Nothobranchius furzeri: one gene and its partners. The protein of the gene in region 2 binds, or shares a complex with, the protein of the main gene of each other region. Links are inferred from orthologs where the notes say so. Each region holds a gene or a part of one and is shown on either strand. Other genes may lie near its edges. The genes, in order: arhgef6, dab2ipb, pak1, map3k5 and dcp1a.

What was found.
Region 1: dab2ipb (region 2) and arhgef6 share a complex: the UniProt entries of both Homo sapiens proteins name them as parts of the cytoplasmic complex. The link is inferred for Nothobranchius furzeri from reciprocal best matches to the Homo sapiens genes DAB2IP and ARHGEF6.
Region 3: dab2ipb (region 2) and pak1 share a complex: the UniProt entries of both Homo sapiens proteins name them as parts of the cytoplasmic complex. The link is inferred for Nothobranchius furzeri from reciprocal best matches to the Homo sapiens genes DAB2IP and PAK1.
Region 4: dab2ipb (region 2) and map3k5 share a complex: the UniProt entries of both Homo sapiens proteins name them as parts of the cytoplasmic complex. The link is inferred for Nothobranchius furzeri from reciprocal best matches to the Homo sapiens genes DAB2IP and MAP3K5.
Region 5: dab2ipb (region 2) and dcp1a share a complex: the UniProt entries of both Homo sapiens proteins name them as parts of the cytoplasmic complex. The link is inferred for Nothobranchius furzeri from reciprocal best matches to the Homo sapiens genes DAB2IP and DCP1A.

What each region holds. Positions count from the first base shown.
Region 1 is NC_091741.1:83,114,465-83,117,342, forward strand, and holds the end of arhgef6 (rho guanine nucleotide exchange factor 6), read right to left. Parts: intron 941-2,878; coding exon 818-940; 3' UTR 503-817; downstream 1-502. UniProt on the Homo sapiens protein: Acts as a RAC1 guanine nucleotide exchange factor (GEF).
Region 2 is NC_091746.1:68,262,771-68,266,288, reverse strand, and holds part of dab2ipb (disabled homolog 2-interacting protein), read right to left. Parts: intron 2,986-3,518; coding exon 2,818-2,985; 3' UTR 1-2,817. UniProt on the Homo sapiens protein: Functions as a scaffold protein implicated in the regulation of a large spectrum of both general and specialized signaling pathways.
Region 3 is NC_091753.1:60,604,106-60,607,623, reverse strand, and holds part of pak1 (serine/threonine-protein kinase PAK 1), read right to left. Parts: intron 1,320-3,518; coding exon 1,206-1,319; intron 1-1,205. UniProt on the Homo sapiens protein: Protein kinase involved in intracellular signaling pathways downstream of integrins and receptor-type kinases that plays an important role in cytoskeleton dynamics, in cell adhesion, migration, proliferation, apoptosis, mitosis, and in vesicle-mediated transport processes.
Region 4 is NC_091742.1:11,510,404-11,514,640, reverse strand, and holds the start of map3k5 (mitogen-activated protein kinase kinase kinase 5), read left to right. Parts: upstream 1-1,434; 5' UTR 1,435-1,646; coding exon 1,647-2,070; intron 2,071-4,237. UniProt on the Homo sapiens protein: Serine/threonine kinase which acts as an essential component of the MAP kinase signal transduction pathway. Plays an important role in the cascades of cellular responses evoked by changes in the environment.
Region 5 is NC_091755.1:32,995,944-33,000,203, reverse strand, and holds the start of dcp1a (mRNA-decapping enzyme 1A), read left to right. Parts: upstream 1-1,446; 5' UTR 1,447-1,485; coding exon 1,486-1,614; intron 1,615-1,988; coding exon 1,989-2,029; intron 2,030-2,799; coding exon 2,800-2,927; intron 2,928-4,260. UniProt on the Homo sapiens protein: Necessary for the degradation of mRNAs, both in normal mRNA turnover and in nonsense-mediated mRNA decay. Removes the 7-methyl guanine cap structure from mRNA molecules, yielding a 5'-phosphorylated mRNA fragment and 7m-GDP.

The DNA of each region.
Region 1 (2,878 bases), on a different chromosome or scaffold from region 2:
AATCCAAAATAAAGAAAAGCTGAATATTTTGGGTTACAATTATTCTTGTATATATATATATAAGAGTAAATTACCTTTTGTACTAATAAATAGTGCACAGTTAAGTTTTTCCTATGTGTTGATGCCCTGGAAGCTTTGAAGTCCATATCTGAATAAAAGGATCACATTTCTGACGCAAAATTCATAGTAACACTGTAGATTGATGCAGTTTTTTTAAAATAAACAGTCAGCGGAGACATTTGAGACTGTTCACCGTGGTGAGCTCACTTGTTTGACATGCCTACAAAAATGTCTTGAACACAAGGCAACAATCATCTAAACGGTTTAAAAAAGATCCCAGGCCTTTATGGATAAATAAAAACTGACAGTGACAAAGTCATGAGTTCTGTTTTAGAAAGAAGTGCATGCAAGAGAAGGCTTGATGGCTTTGTACTCCTTTCATTTTTCCAACTGAACACACAAATAAAGCAGTCTGGGTGTTTTTTTGTTGTTGTCTTGTTTCTTCTTGTCCAACACTGGCCCGTTTGCTGGGTGGAGTTTACGGAGCGAGTCACCATGTGGCAGGAGATTTGGAAACATGGTGGTGGAGCCCAGCTACATACAAGGAAGCTTGTTTTTGTTTGTCTCATTTAGTGACGCTGGATCAGGAAGACGGATCTCATCATCATAATGAAGAAAGAAACTCCAAGGTTTGAGAGTCTGATTCTGCTGCGTGAGACTGAAATGTGAAGACACGACAAAGATGCACAAATAAACACACAAACGCTTGTCCCAGTGCAGGTCAGCCCACACGTAGCACCATGAAACCAGGACGCGTTCAGTGGCCGCTGTCCTCCCAAGAGCTGTCGTTCTTCTGCTTGGACAGTTTTCGGACTAGCCTCTCCAGCTCTTTGCGAGACTTCTGCTCCTCCTCCAGGAACTGCTTCATCCATTTGTTCTCCTGCAGAGTGTATGAAAAAGAGCTGTATTTAATGAATAATGTAAGTAAGACATTTTTATTTACATAGCACTCATCACTGAAAGAAAATCCCAAAGTGATTCACATAGATTTAAAAAAATCACAAGGTCATAACATCATAATGATCTTAAATAAATTAAAATCAGGAAAACAAATTCATGACGTTACTAAATGATCGTAAATATAAATCAAGTGAAAGATGATTATTAATTCAAGTAAAAAAAGAACAAAAACACAGTAGATTTAGGTAAAAGCAGGTCTAAATAAAAGGGTCTACAGCTGCTTTTTAAAGGTGTCCAGGCTGTCAATACGATGTAAGATTCCTCTTAAGCCCAGAGACCCTGGTGCTACAGAAGAAAATACTCTTTCCAGGCTAAAAAAAAAAATAAAAAATAAACTACTCGGGTCACGTTCTAGGGTTACAGACACCAGCCAGACCACCTTATATTTTTAATGTCACGGTTGAAAGTTCTGACGCAGTTTACAAGGGACATTATTCAAAACTCGCCTTTGGCTGCCATGTGGGTCTCTGCTGCCTCTATAAACACTCTAAATGTAATAAAAACCCATCCATCTTGTAAATGGCTGCAAGTAGGTGGATTGTCAACGTCACTCACTCAATTGTATATAAATGGGCGTTAACCCGGATGTGGACGTGGCGTTGGCATTCCACCTGGCTTGACGTGTTGCAGCAGACCAAACCTCCACGTTAGTGAGGGCATTCTGATTAAAATTGATTAAATAAGAACGTGTCGCCCTACCAAATGCTTTGTACATTTAGTCTATGGTCTTGCCGTGCCAAGCCTCTGCGTGACATTACTTTGATTGCACCCCATGGCAAGAGGAGCAAGGTATTTGTTCTTTGTTTCTGTTTGTTGCTCCTGATGTTTGTCAGCAACTGTCTTTAATTTGTAAATTATGTATTTTCAGTTTTCACTGTGTTTGCACAGTGTTTGGCATCAGGTGCTCGGTGCGATTCTGGGAATGAGACGTATGCATCTACAGCCTGACGCAAATAAAAAGTCGCACCCGTCTAAGCTCTCCTCCTTATATCTCTTGGATGCTAAGGGGCAGTAACAGACAGAAACAAAGAACAAATATCTCTTTTTTTGACCGTGTTTATTTAGGAAATTATGTGCCTGAAATGACTCATTTGAAAAAGTCCTAGTTTGTGATGTCACAAATGGGGAAAAACAAACCACCTCTCACATGCAAAAGAGAGCTGCTACTGGAGGAGCAGCGGTTCTCCTCCAAGCTCCCCCTAGATATCAAAGCCTCTCTGCACATTTTCCAAAATGTATTTAACCGATTATTGAAGCCATTAAGTGGTTAATTCTTTGTTAACCGTAAACTCCCTCTCCAGCCCCCCTCCTGCGCACGCACACAGAGAAAAAAATATAAAATATAAATAAAACTAACGCTTTTCCTCCTACTCTTTTAACATCACTCAGACACAGAACCAAAGTCCCACGCCTGTTAAAACATTCATAAACTAAAAACAACGTTAGTGGGATGAGAGCTGAAATGTCCACCAGGACATGTTGTGTAATGGGCCGTCCGGCATTACAGCACTGCTTATAGAGCATTGTGGAGGCTACACATTTAAAAAAACACTTGAGTTTCCTTACATTGAACTAATTACACCAAAGTTTCCAAACTACAGGAGGCAGACACCAAGCTGTCACAAACGCAGGAGCCTTGTTTCATTTTGCTGCACAGCTTTATTTCCATGTTTTTCCAGGCTCAACGCTTTGATGTCGGCCTCATTTTGTTAACTACCACATAAAGAATGCTCCCACGCTGTGCACTTTCCTAAACGCTTAATTTTTGAGTAAATTTATTTGATCATGTGACAAGCTCTTCTTCTGTGGTTTTGACAGTGGCATTCTTGTGCCTTCTGGTGGCAAAAATATATATTAC
Region 2 (3,518 bases):
AGACATTAGACATTATTTCACAGTAGAATTCTTATTCATTGTACCTTTAAGTAAAATATTAAACTATTTGAGCTAAAATGCTAACAGAATTGCCCAAGTAAAGGTACTTTAATAAAAAATAAAAAAAAGGATGGAAACTGAGAAAAAGCATGCTCTGTGTATCTTAGCAGGAGGATTTCTATGTTTACTAAAAGAAAAGGAAAATCTGAAGGATGTGGGCTGATTTATAATTTGCGGGAGGTGGGGGAAGATTTCCTATGGAAGCAATATTAAAACAATGACTTTCAGTATAGGGCCTGTAGTTTATTTACAGTGTGCATAAAAATGTCAACAAATCATCACTGGTTATTGTCAATTTATATTTTTGTATTACTATGGACTTGTAAACCATATTTAATGTAGTCCATAAACATGCGGGTAAAACAACAGAAGTAAACGAATTAGTTTTTTTTCACGTCTCATCGTCTGGCTTTCATCTGAGAAGGTAACCTATAAGACTGGATCAGAGGCATGGTTAGGAATGTTCTGATTTCTTGTGAAACATTTTGGTTCTGTTTGAAAAAGAGAAATTCATCATCCGATGTGAAAACGAATGCACAACCTTTACATTTATTCAGTCAATGTTGAACCTTGGCACATTTTAAAAACATAAAACAGGCTCATGATTAAAAATAATACGACTAAATAGAAGTTATAAAAACCCGACGAGTCAATGTAAAAGTGCTAGACGGATGAGAATTACAGGATTGTGCTTGCGTTTCTCATCGGACTCGACTTGGCCTGAAACCAGCAAGGCAAACATCTCTGGAGTCGAACTTCTACGTCATCAGTTTTGTTTTCTGTTGTTTTCGTTCTTCTTTTTTTGGCTAGTGATAATATAACGTAAATAGGAACACAAAAGCGTTAACAGAGTAAACACTGACAGGATAATTGAATTGTGTAGTTCTACCCAATGAGGACCGATGACTGACAGGGCTAGTTCATATTTACAATATCGATAATGATACAGTAGAGTCTCAGCACAAGATGCATTTACAAAAAGCTGTTAACATCTGCTAAAAATAGTGCTAGCATTTTATTTACACTTTTCGGGGCTTCCCTGTCTATAGACGGACTCAACCATATATATATATATATATATATATATATATATATATATATATATATATTTAAAAAATTATATATATATACAATTTATGTATATATATATATAAATTTTATATATACATATATATATATATATAAAATTGTATATATATAAATATAAAATTATATATATACATACATATAATTACATATATAATTATATATATATATAATTTTTTGCATTTGCAAGCATTCATCATCACCGTCTGACTGGCGACCCAGGAAAACAACCTGTACTGACGCTACGCTCGGCTGTCAAGCAAAGATGAAGCATGCAGAGCCTCCTGCCTCATGTTTAAAGTCTGTGTTCTTATTTCTTCCCTGAAGCAAACATACAAATCACACATGGCGAGATGGAAGAGTGACGACTTTAGGACCAACTGTAAGATTGCAGGATAGAAAGATAGAAACAAGGCGAGAGAAAGAAATCCGGATGAGTTAGGTGTTGCTACAAGGATCGTCACAGTTTGCCTACTTCATCACCACGGACAATTAAAGCAGTTGGGAGAGGGGATGGAACTAATGGCGGCCATAGCGATGGCTCACTGGTCCAGAGTAGAGCGTGAGTGAGCGCATCTCAATGCACCTTCAACAGCTCCAGTGCAGAGAGAAAAACAGAGACGAAACCGTGACTCTTGATCTGTTTCACTGCAAACTTTGCATCATTTTTTGAAACTCCTGCAGATACGGTGCGGCGTGGATATTTCTATCACTGCTCAGTGTCGTCCCCACCTCCAGCGCTCCGATGTGAGCTGCACGCCACAATCTCGCCATAGACGAAAACTCGTAAATAATGGGCTCTTTAATCTGTCAGTTTATCAAATATATGTGTGTATACTCTATAGAAGAAAACAATGCATACATCTATATTAAATTTCATTAATATAGTACTACATTTACTTCTGATTTTATTATACATCTAAATGTTTGCAGTTTAGTTTTGTATTCTTTACAAATCCACAGTATAAGTTGTGCCTTTTAGTTGGTTTTTTGCAGAAACGAGGTGAGCTGAGGGGTGAGGTGGACGTGTGTTCCTTAGTTAAGGCCTTTTACGTACCAATAGCTTCTTGCAAAGTGCATTGCATGGGGTCGGCGGGACATTCAGGAACACACCCACAAGTTCAAAGGGAAGCAAAGAAGATTGTTTTGGACTAAAATGATCTATTTTTAGCTCATATTTGGTTCTTTTGAAACACTTCAAAGTAAAGCTTTAAAACGCGAACCTCTCGAGACGGCTAAAGTGAAAATCTGCAATCTTGTTGGTGTTAATGGCTCCACTTTGTTATCAAGAAGGAGAGGGATAAAAAAGGAGGAGAGGATGGTTGCTAGGGCGACCATTTTTGGTGGTCCTGGCTGTGCGTGTGTGTGTGTGTGTGTGTGGTTAAATAGTGGTTCGCCCCGGTGACCACGTATCGTCGGAGTCTGCCTGATGGACAGCCGTGAGTTCTTATATACAAGCTCCGCCCCTCCACTTGCCCTCATGATGAAGGTCACCCTCCTCTGGAAAAATGCCCATTACTCCCCTACACCATCTCTTAAAAAGTCTTTCCGGAAGTACTGTCTGCTGTGAGCGCACGCCCACGCGGTCTCAGTCTCTCGTGCAGGCGGGGAGACGCGTCCTCTCGCCAGATAAACTGTACACACTCAGCACACACTCGAGGTCAGCTCTGTTCAGCAGTTGCTGCTGTTTCTGAATTCTCCGTTCTCCGTGATCTGCAGCTTGGTGGGGTTGGTGGGGGAGATGCCGTTGCGGGTCTGCATGCTGTAGCGCTCCTTCAGCTGAGTCAGGGCGCTCATCAGACGAGCGTTGGCCGCATCCAGAGATGCTATTCGCTTCTCCTGCAAACACAATCAAAACGATAACGTCTGGTGATGTTGGTTTGGCGTGGTCTCTACTATCCAGGTGAAACATTAGAATATGATGCAAAAGTTCATTCATGTCAGTAATTCAACTTAAAAGTGAAACAAATATATGAGACATTCTCATTAGATGAAGAGCCTGCTATTTCAAGCCTTTACTTGTTATAACTGGATGATAATGGTTTACAGCTTATGAAAACCCCACATCCAAAATCTCAATTAGAATAGTACATAAAATCAATAAAACAAGGATTTTGCTTGGTTTGGGCCCCTTTTCCTGAAATAAATGAACTTTTTGCTGACATTCTAATTTTTTGATTTTCATTTGTTACTTGTTCTCTGTGGAAAAAAAGCTCCGGTGCTCCTGTAACAGGAAGTAGAAGTTAGCTGGAGCGAGGGCAGAAAATGACAGGATTTGGTGTCTTGATCGTTAATGTTCTAGATATGCAAACATCTCACCTCTGGTAGGCTAACAGAAACGCAACCATGAATGCTAATGAATGTGACGTAGA
Region 3 (3,518 bases), on a different chromosome or scaffold from region 2:
ATACACCCGTACAGGTCTGTAGACACACCCGTACAGGTCTGTAGACACACCCGTACAGGTCTGTAGACACACCCGTACAGGTCTGTAGACACACCCGTACAGGTCTGTAGACACACCCGTACAGGTCTGTAGACACACCCGTACAGGTCTGTAGACACACCCGTACAGGTCTGTAGATACACCCGTACAGGTCTGTAGATACACCCGTACAGGTCTGTAGATACACCCGTACAGGTCTGTAGATACACCCGTACAGGTCTGTAGACACACCCGTACAGGTCTGTAGATACAACCGAACAGATCTGTAGATACAACCGTACAGGTCTGTAGACACACCCGTACAGGTCTGTAGATACACCCGTACAGGTCTGTAGATACAACCAAACAGATCTGTAGATACAACCGTACAGGTCTGTAGATACCCGTACAGGTCTGTAGATACACCCGTACAGGTCTGTAGATACACCCGTACAGGTCTGTAGATACACCCGTACAGGTCTGTAGACACACCCGTACAGGTCTGTAGATACAACCGAACAGATCTGTAGATACAACCGTACAGGTCTGTAGATACAACCGAACAGATCTGTAGATACAACCGTACAGGTCTGTAGATACAACCGTACAGGTCTGTAGACACACCCGTACAGGTCTGTAGATACAACCGAACAGATCTGTAGATACAACCGTACAGGTCTGTAGACACACCCGTACAGGTCTGTAGATACAACCGTACAGGTCTGTAGATACACCCGTACAGGTCTGTAGACACACCCGTACAGGTCTGTAGACACACCCGTACAGGTCTGTAGATAGCGACTTGGTCCCAGTTTTTCATTTCGGCCCAGTGTGAGTTTGAGTTCGACACCCCTGCAATGCGCATACAAAGGAAGTGATAACCACCCAGGAACTAGCACGTACAACGACGGCCTTGCGGGAATGGTTCACCAGAATGATTGACAGTTAAATGGACCAATGGTTCAGATGATCCACCTGGAAAAAAATATCCTCCGCCACACCTTTAAATATAGTTTTTGTTCTTCACTAAATGATACAGGTGTGTGTGTGTGTGTGTGTGTGTGTGTGTGTGTGTGTGTGTGTGTGTGTGTGTGTGTGTGTGTGTGTGTGTGTGTGTGTCTGTGTGTGTCTGTGTGTGTGTGTGTGTATCTTATATTATGGGAGACAAACATCTGGGTAAGTCTTACCGATTTGGTGTGTTCAGGACGGGGGGCAATCACCGGTGGAGGCTGCGCCTCGTCTTCATCTTCTTCCTCGGACACTGTTGCTATGGCAGGTGTCTCCGACACAGCTTTGGAGCTCTGCGTGATGTCACATAGAGAGGAGGCGGAGTCTCAGTGACTTTATGGTTACATGAGCAATCATTAAAACCAGATCCATCCTTCCTTCTTGTTGTCACTGCTGATTCCTAATCTCGTCACAGACGTTCTCCTTCATCTTTTGCTGCTGGGCTTCACCTCCCTCTCCTCCTGCTAGTGCCTGAACTCTAGTCAGCTTGAGCTCCTGATGCCACTCCTCACACAACCTATTCCTCCATCTTTGATTTTCTTCTGCTGCAGAGTTGGCAAAGGAGACCAAGATGCTGATTCACAATGCAGCTCATAACTGCCTCCTTGGTGTTAAGTTTAAGGACATCTGGTTGGCTAATTTTAAAAATCAGTTCTCCAGCACAGAAAGCTGTTATTTGAGCTCCTGAGATGAATCAAAAGCAGAATTAAATCTGTTTTGCCTTTTGGAGATTTTCACCTCATCTCCACTAATGGTATAGGATCTGCTGTAAGGGATCCGAGTTGTGGACATTAAAGTGTTTATTATGGTATTTGTTGTTGAGATGGGGGATGTTTGTCACAAAATAAAATAAATGAAATGATTATTATTAGCAGTAAAGCATTCTTGTAATACTTGAGGTCTGAAACCATAAATGAGCCGCAGCACTTAAATTTTAGTCCCGTCATCTCATCCATCCATCCTCGGCTGCTTATCCGGGGTCTGGTCACGGGGCCGGAAGCCAATGCAGGGAGGCCCAGACGTCCTTCTCCCCAGCTTGTAGGGACCTCTGGGTGGATCTCATTCACCCCCGGAGCCTTGCCACTGAGGAGCTTTTCGACAACCTCATTGACCTCAGCACCAGAGATTTGAGAGCCCAACCCAAAGTCCACAAACATTGCTTCCTCACTGGAAGACGTGCCAGTGGGATTGAGTAAGTCTTCTAAGTATTCTGCCCACCGATCCACAACATCTGATTCGAGGTCAGCAGCACACGGTCCCCACTATAAACTGTGTTGGTAGAGCAGTGTGTCGCGGAGGCAGCAGCCTAACCAGAGAGGCCCAGACTTTCCTCTCACCAGCCACTTGGGCTAGTTCCTCCAGGAGAATCCTGAGGCGTTCCCTGGCCAGCTGAGAGACAGTCAATCCAGCATGTCCTGGGTCTTCCTTTAGTCTTCTCCTGGTTGGAATTGCCCGGAAAACCTCACCAAGGAGGAATCCCACCTAGATGCCTGAGCCACCTCAACTGGCTCATCTCTATGAGGAGGAGCAGTGGGTCTACTCCGAATCTGCATCACTGCAGATGCAGCACCAATCCACCTATCGATCTCCACTCCAGCTTTCCCTCACTGGTGAACAAGACCCCGAGATACTTGAACTCCTCCACTTGGGGCAGGACCTCATCTCTGACCCGGAGAAGGCATTCTACCCTTTTCTGACTGTTACGATCTCTGGGTTTTCCCTCCAGCCAGCACCATCAGGATTAGCTCTCTTCCCTCAGAGCTCAGCTGCAAGTCATCTGCAATCACCCAGCTGCAGCATGAAGTCTACCCCTTCAGGAGGAGAAAAAGGGGAGACAGACTGGAGGCTGAGAGAGAGAGGGACTTTTGGCTTAATTTAGGCGCCAGTGGCGACTTGGGTTGGCTGGATTTATTTACAGAGCTGTTTTGTAAAGTGCTCTTCAGTAAGCGGAGTCAGGTGGGGCGCTTTCTTTTGTTACTCTGTCCAGCTCTTATTGTAAGATCCTGAGATTTCTTCCTCCTGGGCAAGGCAAGCTTAAGTTTTGTTTTGAGACAGAGGTAGTAGGTAACTTTAAATAGTAACTCACTTGACAGTCATATTAGTTTGATTTATTTCCTTACAGGTGGTTGTTTTGGTTTCGTCTCCCGTTGGGATGCCTTTTGTTAACAAACCGTTTAAGATGATTGGTTTGGGTCTTGGTCTGTTTGATCCACCTTTTTGTGTTAACCCTCCCACGGTTTCCTAGACCTGGTTGGGGTTGTAACACCGCTAGGGATGGGTACCTTTGACATTTGAATCAATCCGGTACTAATTCCCGGTACCTAGGAATCGATACCGGTACCTAACGGTACCAATTTTCGATACTTTTGAGTGTTTATTATTTTAATTCTCTTTTGTAATTAAATATATTTTTTTTTCAATTTATAACCACATTTGATAAATATCACGATAAATAACATACAACTGTTTGTATTTTAACATCGTCCTTGTAG
Region 4 (4,237 bases), on a different chromosome or scaffold from region 2:
CATCAATGGCTGCATTAGAATGGAGTTCCTGGCAAAGAGGGATTTAGTTATTAATTACGTTTCATCTCATCACTCCTAGATTCAGGACTTTGCGCAAACTGACCATCTTTCTGTGTAAAGTCAGATTGTGACCACAAGAGGGCGACCTTAGACAGGAAAAGGTTGAAGCACGACGCTTCTGTGCGGGGACCATGACGTCACTCCACAAAGGAAAATTCGGTGTTTGTTTCAACCAGTTGCTCTACAGGTTTTACACACGAGCCGGAACTGATAATGGGCTTCCTGCCTGGAATAGGGCCTGGGCGATGGCATTACGTTGCTGTGCAACAACAGAGAAAGTTTCAAACGGAGGGGGGGAAAACAGTAAGGGACTAGATTTATTTTCAGTTCAATTCAATTCAATTTTATTTATATAGCGCCAAATCACGACAAGAGTCGTCTCATGGCACTTCACATAATAAACATTCCAATTCAGGTCAGTTCATTAAGCCAATCAGAAATAATGTTTCCTATATAAGGAACCCAGAAAATTGCATCAAGTCACTGACTAGTGTCAGTGACTATACAGCAATCCTCTAAGCAAGCATGCAGCAACAGTGGAGAGGAAAACTCCCTTTTAACAGGAAGAAACCTTCAGAGAATCCTGGCTCAGTATAAGCAGCCATCCTCTATGACTCACTGGGGATCGAGAAGATAGAGCAGTCACACACACACACACACACACACACACACACACACACACACACACACACACACACACACACACGCACACACACACACACACACACACACACACACACACACACACACGCACGCACGCACACACACACACACACACACACACACAAAGTAATGTGTCTATAGTTATATTGTGATGTCTTAGTAAATATTCTATTTGGTGAGAGATAAACTTTATTGTATGTATCCTAGTGGATCTATAATTAAACGGATAAACTAGTAGTAGCACATCCAACGTCAAGGAAAGCAAAAAGTTATTATCAGGAGAGGGAGAATGTTAAATGACATTTTCATGAAGCTCTGGTGTGAAACTTGATGGGTTTTAGAAGGTGCGCTTGTTCTGGTGTCCTGAAGCAGCTTCGAGCCTCCACCCAGCTCCTACAGCTGTCTGCCCGCCCAGTGCGTGGGTCTGCTCGGAGAGATAACAGCAGAAACGGGCAGGGTGTGCCCGCAAATTCGAGGCGCCTGTCAGTGCATGCGCACGCTCTCTCTGTCTCTTATAAAAGATGACGTAGCGCAGCTCCAACTTCGACTCGCTGTGACGTTGGTGATTCCTGTGGGCGTTGCTGCTCCGCTGCCTAACTTTGAGAAGTGCTGTGGGAGAGAGGAGCGCAGGAATCTGTCGAGCTGAGGCGGAATGTGGCGCGGATTTCGCTGCGCTTTCCTCTCCTCCTTCGCTTTGTTGTTGTGACTGACTTCGGTTGATTTTCGGCGTCATCAAACAGAAACATGCAGCCTGACGCGGAGCTGCGCCCCTGCCGCCTCTAGCAGGCTGTTTACCCGCGTGGAAACGCTCAGTCGCATGTCGTGTTTGCGCAGAAGCTCCGTGCGTAACGCCGCCTCTCCATGGAGGACTGCTGGAGGAGCCGCTCACTGCGATCAACTCTTTAACTGACACTTGAAACGAGATGAATCTAGACCAGGACGGAATCTCATTCCCGGTTCCCAGCTTTTGTTCCGGCAGAGAGACCGTCAGCGGGGAACATCCCAGCAGCACCGGCGCTGGAGGAGGCGGCGGCGCTCCCGGGATCCCAGCAGCCGGGACTTTCTGGCAGGACCCGCTGCTCCCAGGCAGCAGGGTCAGTCCCACCTCCGGGGATGAGCTAATGGAGGGCGGGGGGTTGCTGTCCACCTGTAAGCCCGGTAAAAGCAGACCGGTGACGGTGGCTTACGTGGTGAACGGCGAGGCGAGCCCGCAGAACAACGCGGAGAGCATGGCCCTGCAGTGTCTGAAGGACGCGTGCGACCGGGTGGGCAGCAAACTGGACACTGTCAACTTTGGGAGGCTGGACTTTGGGGAGACCACAGTTTTAGACCGGTTCTACAACGCAGGTGAGTCAAAATTTGTGGGTCCCTAAAGGCCTCCAGTCACGCACGGGTCTGAGGTCACATCTCCTCTGTGCTCACCTCATCTCCAGTAAATCACGTTGCTCTGGGTTCGTCTCGCGCACGCACACCCAGATCGGCATGTCTGGACATGAAGCTTGCAAGTCGTCTAAGCTCAAACAGAAGACATGAACATTCAGGGCTGTTTTTTCCTGTTTCATTTACAAAAGTGGAGGTTTTATTTCTTCAGAGATCCACAGGGTCACTTTCAACTGAAGTCCAGAGATGATCTGATAAACATTTTATCAACTGCAATGCAATACATGCATTTAATTGTATTTTTGCTTATATATTTGTAGTTTGGGGCTCTGCAGCTGATGCATTATAAAATGCTAAAGCGTTGCAGACTCGGTTGTTCATCGTAAAATCAAGGGTCCTTCTGCAGACAGCCAGGATAAAACCAATGCTCCGACCCACACATCCTATTAAAGTAACACATTCAATATTCCAGAAAACAGAAGTTTTATCTAACCCAGCCTAAACACGCTTAACTCCTCTCCCTACAACAGAATTCCCCTTACAGGAGTTTTATCTGAAGGGCAAAAGGGGGAAAATCTGATATTTATTTTATTCTAAAAACAAAATATATGAATCCATTAAGTCTGTTAAGGATGGGAAATGCCACAACTGCTGCAACAGTTGACCAATATTGCAATCACCTACCTGGAACAATTACAACAAATCTGAGGATTCTTCTTTTGAAGAGGTAGAAAATAATCACTTGAGTCATTTATTTATTTCAGTTTGGCTAAATGTATCCAAGAATGATGCAAAAATGGAAGATTTGCTGTTAGAGACTCAGTAAAAAAATTTAATTGATTTCTCAAGATAAATTAACTAACTGGCTTCCAGTCAGCAGAAAATCCAAACGTCAATAATGACATAAGCCTGTAAGTGTGGAGAAATGATAAGTGGATAATTTATACTTTCAAAGTCATATAGGTCTTTATTGACTCATTCTTTCTTATAAATTCCACTATTCTTGTGGGATTTTTCCATATTTAAATGTGCACATTTTTTTTAATCAGCAAAAATAGAATAACAGCTGCTTATTGGAAACATGCATGTCTAGTTCTCTTATGTGTTTCTGCATTATTCACAGCAGAAGAAGAACAGGGCGGTATAATGTTGGGGTGTTGATTATGAAGCCACAATTAAAAACACTTTTTATTGCAGCGAGCTTGGCTAATAATTCTTTAGATAGTTTTAAAACAAACTATTGTTTTTGAGTCATAAAGTAGCGGCGGCGTTCCCCTCGGTGTAAATGACATTTTAAATGTCAAAACTGAGCAGATGCAAGAGATAAATTAAAGCTGGTGCCATTTAAAAAAAAACTGTGTTTAGAGAGGAAAAAGGTGTAAATATGAATGTTCCCTTTCATGTAAATTAAAGCTGTTTTTAGGTTCTAGGCTCGTTTCTGTATCCTGGTGAGATTCACGCAGGAATAGCAGGAAACGTAAAAATTTAGCTACTTTTTCGAGTTGACGGGCTTGTTGCTTCTTGCTGTTCCAGGTGCAATAAGTTCCCCGTGTTCTTTTGTCATCTTTCTCAGAACTACAGAACTCCCGGTGCACCGGGGAGGGCCGAGGCATTTTCCCGGAAAAGTTGCTTTTAGCTGTACTTCTTCATCCGTTTTCCTACGCAAATGTGCACGAGAGGGCACAGAACAATGAGCTCCGAGGACGAGCTGTGACTTCTGACACATTCTAATAGAGGGCGTTCCATGTTGTCCTCCAACAGCCTCCTCACATGATGCTGCGCACAAAAAAGGACAAGTCTTCAGGCTCGGATCCATAAAAAAAAACAAGATAAAGAAGCAAAAGTTTGACTCCATCGTCTTAGTCAGTTCATTCATGTTTCAGTTTTATGCACACGTTTCTTTGTTCTGTTCTCCAAAAGAAAAACAAAACATTTGACATATCTGAGGACTTTATTCTTATCTACATCTTTTACTTGTCGTCAACTCGCTGGCTTACTGCAGTGAGACAATTTTCTACTCAGATTTATATAATTAGAGATTTATGCAGCAATCCTTGGACATGCGGTTCTATTTATATGCGTGTCCCTGCTGCTAAACCCATATTCAGGGATTTTCTGAGTTTTTCTGCAGATT
Region 5 (4,260 bases), on a different chromosome or scaffold from region 2:
CTGTCTGGACTTACCCCTCAGGTGTCTGCCCCTGATAATAAACCGCATTCTGTCACCTGTTCCTTCTTCGAGGCCTCATAGCGCCGATCTGTGTGTTCATTCTACGGCGATTCGTGAGGGAATGGGTGGTTTGGAGCTCTGATGGAATGATAGTGATTGGATTACCTGCATTCAGGGTAAAACAGATTCACGGTAGTGCGTAATCCTTAGATTATAATCCCCGTTCCCTAAGCATGAGAGATAGCTGCATGCACCAAAGCTAGGGTCAAATAATAAACATGATTTTTTAAATAGAATTTTCAGACACTTTCATTCACTTATTAGCAGTTTAGGATTTGAATAAAAGGAAAATCTAACTTTGACTTCATAACAAGGAAAATAATGCAAGTTCTTCTCAAATAGGTCTGAGTAATAAATCTGAAATTATAAACTGCATTCATAAAACCATGTCAGGCGTTGTGAAATATTGTTCTGTTTTTGCTTTCATTTTCTTTCAAGATTAACAAAATATATACCAAACAACTTGGGTAAATAAAATGATCAACAATAGAAATTTTAGGCGTAAAAACACAAGTTAAAATGAAAAAAACCATTGTGATGTGTACATATTTCCATGAAACTTGAGGTAGGAAACATATTAGGCTACATGAAATTAACATTATAATTGCAGGCTTTTGCATTGCAAATAGCTACTGAACTCAATTTTAATAATAAATAACTCCAAATTTTGATCATCCAATGAATGAGGTGTGAACAAGTTGTTAAAATAGGTATCTATTTCCGTGTTTTTCTGCTTCACAGTTTGTTGCACATTGCTAAATATTATTTTGGTGGAAATTAAATATGTGGGTTAAAAGTTTATTATCATTTTTATATTTTAAGAAACCTGCAATCACATGAAACTTTCTTAACCCTCTGGAGGCAGGCGCTGCAGATTTGCAACAGTTAAAACCTACCTAACTGGTTACTCCACATACGTATTTCATGAGCATTTTTTTAACTCAGATGTATCCCTGAAAGACTTAGTTGTTTGTTCCTTTATCAAAACTTATTTTGAGCCTGAGAGGGTTAAATGCCTAGAGTATACACATTACATGTATTCCCTTAATTTGAACTGGCTTGCATAAAAGTCCAAAAAAGTTTGAAACTTGTTTTTCTAATATCTCAAAGGATGACATTATGTGTAGGAAATAAGCTTCAACTTCAGTTGGCAAACTACCTTTTCAAACTATGTTCACATTGTTGTGGGTTTGGTTTCAGACATATTTTTTCTGCATTTTCTCTCAGAATTTGCAATTACATTGTTTTTATTATTATTATTATTATTATTATTATTATTATTATTATTATTATTATTATTATTATTCCCCGCGGAATTAAAAAAACTCCTCTGGGGAACCTTTTCAGTGGTGGGATTTCCGTAAATACCGGAAGTTATAGGTGTTTGCAAAAATTCGTCCGTGCGGCAGAAAATCATAAGCAAAGATGGCGATTAATGCTGGACATCTGATGAGTTTAGCTGCTTTGCAGAGACACGATCCATACATTAACAAACTGCTCGATGTTACCGGTCAGGTTGCTCTTTACAACTTCAATTCAAAAGCAAACGAATGGGTAAGTAAGAGAATTTACCCTGGAAAAGTTTCGGGAAATATTTGGTGGAGAGCCAACAAAGCTAGCTTCACACTTAGCTTCTGAGCTTTGATTCAAAACAGAAAATATTGTTGTTGTTTTTTTTTTGGGGGGGGGGGTTGTTTGTTTGTTTGTTTTGTTTTTTAAGTAAATGTCTTTATTTGTTTAGTTAATTAAGATAGCGTTGTCTAGTATGTTGTTTTAACGCGAACACAATTAATGCATCTTAGGTACTTTCTAATTGTAAAATTTAACGCCTTATTAGCTTTCAGTTAGCTTATCACCCTCGCTAAATTTATTTAGCTAGTTTGGATTTGCGGTTTCTAGGTTTGAGTCGTTATCTCTATTTGTTCCAGGAGAAAACCGAAGTTGAGGGAACCCTGTTTGTTTATGCAAGGTAAGAATACCTGAGAGCCACGATGGTTGTTCCGCCGTCTGCGCACGTGAGGCCTTGAAATTTGTAAACAAAGATAAAGTGGACTCTGTGATTCAGTAAATCGAACGTAAATTACAGTGTTTAGAGATTGAAACTGAAATATTATGTTATAACGTTGTAATAAACTTTATTTTTAATCAGTTAAAGCATGAAGAACTAAAACGACCACCTACAAACTTTAGTTATAAGGAAATATAATAGACTTTATTAATTTTGTGGGTAAATTCACTCGTTACAGAAGCACATACACTTAGAGAATAGAAGAAGAAAAATAACAAAAGTACCAGTAAATACACAAAGGCAAATCTTTCTGTTAAAAAAATAAACAGGACACGAATTTGTTGTAGGTTACTTTGAATTGGACTGGGAGCTACTTAAATCAATAGTAAAGTTAACTGCTATCCTTTATATTAATTACTAGCACAGTAAACAGCTCCTGCTTTTTAGCAGGTAGAGACCTCCCACACTTGTGCCGACCCAAACCATAAAACTGTTAAATGTAGTTTCTGGTCAGCAGAGGGCTACTGAGTGCTGTCCCATGTGAAGATGTTCAACTTTATGGCTGAAGAACCACTGAAACCAGTTTGAAGGCAATAGCTTAAAGTGTCGAAAACTCTTTAGTATTGCTTTAAATGGTCAATTAAAAACAATCAAATGTGGAGTAAATATTGTACCCAAAGCAATGTGAAGTGCAATTAAGGAGGTAATGTTTTTCCTGGGTCCTTATGAAGGTCTGCCTCCCCTCACCATGGCTTCACCATTATGAATCGACTGAGTGCACAGAACCTTGTTGAGCCCATAAATAAAGACCTGGAGTTCCAGCTGCAGGATCCTTTCTTGCTCTACAGAAATGGAAACTGTGAGTGTTTTGAAGGAAATGAAACACTAAAGAAGTATTTTTGAAATATGTTATTTTTTCTGTTGTATTTTGGTGTGTTTGTGGTTTTGTTTCAAGGTGACTTAACATTAAGGACTTGTTTCCAGCACAGAAAAAGTGTTTAATAAATCTGTAAACATGTTTAATGACTTCTGAACCAAAATGAAAATACATTTCCTCCTAGTATAATAGCTTATTATTATTGTTGCTTTGTTAAATTCTGTTAGTCACAAAATGCTCATTATTTAATAGAAATTTCTGCAATTTTGGCATTTTCATAATTTTCCTATTTGAAGCATTAGTGATATCTTCACTTTTACATACAAATGTGTGTATTAATTATATTAACTAGCACAAACACTATTATGATCCTTAATTATATTAACTAGCATAAACACTATTATGATCCTTAATTATATTAACTAGCATAAACACTATTATGATCCTTAATTATATTAACTAGCATAAACACTATTATGATCCTACCTGTGAAAACAATAGACAGATATCTCCCCAGCGTTCGATGGAACACCTCTCTTCCATATTGCTTGAAGTCATTGTGACGTCTTGCAGCATCAAGCAGGAACACTTTAGCACTCATGGCCCAAAATGGCCAAACAGCAACTTCAGCTTTGCTAGTGAACAGTTATCTTTCTGCATTTGGGCAACCGTCTCAGAGTTAAGTCTCTGATTGGTGAATCCGACCACTAAGTTAATCCAGCGATGTCCTCCAGCCTTGTGACAGAGCAGTGTAACAAAAAGGCCGCAAAGTTTCTCAAATCTTCAAAAAGTAGCTGACTGCGCTGCCTCCAAGGTAATCTATTAGAAGTCTGAAGAGAAGCTTCATCAGGGCAACGAACAAGGAGTTAGAATGCTTTCCCATTTGTTTGCTTATAAGGAAAAACAGCATAGCCAGGGTCAAAGTTAGAGTCGACGGCTCCCCTTTTGGAGTTGGTTTGCACATCAGCCTGGCTGGGATCGAGGACATGATGAGGTTGGTATCCCAGTAAAACCAGCTTCTCGGATAACTTTACTTTAGCATGTGTGCTAATATTGTTGTTTGGTGGAGTTGCAGGAAGATAATCTTCAGGTTTCTCCCTGGCAGCAGACAGTCCCTCGCACACACACAGTCCACTAGATCTCAGTGTGCTGACTCGTTCTGTAGCCTGTTGCTGTAAAGGTGTGGCTGTATGAGTTTAGATTTCCCAGCTGTGATCCTGAAAGCGAGAGTAGTAGAAGAAACGATGAAGACTGAGCTGGCATAAAAGCAGGATCAAATAAAGAGCACAGGTTAGACACAAGTACGGTTAAATCT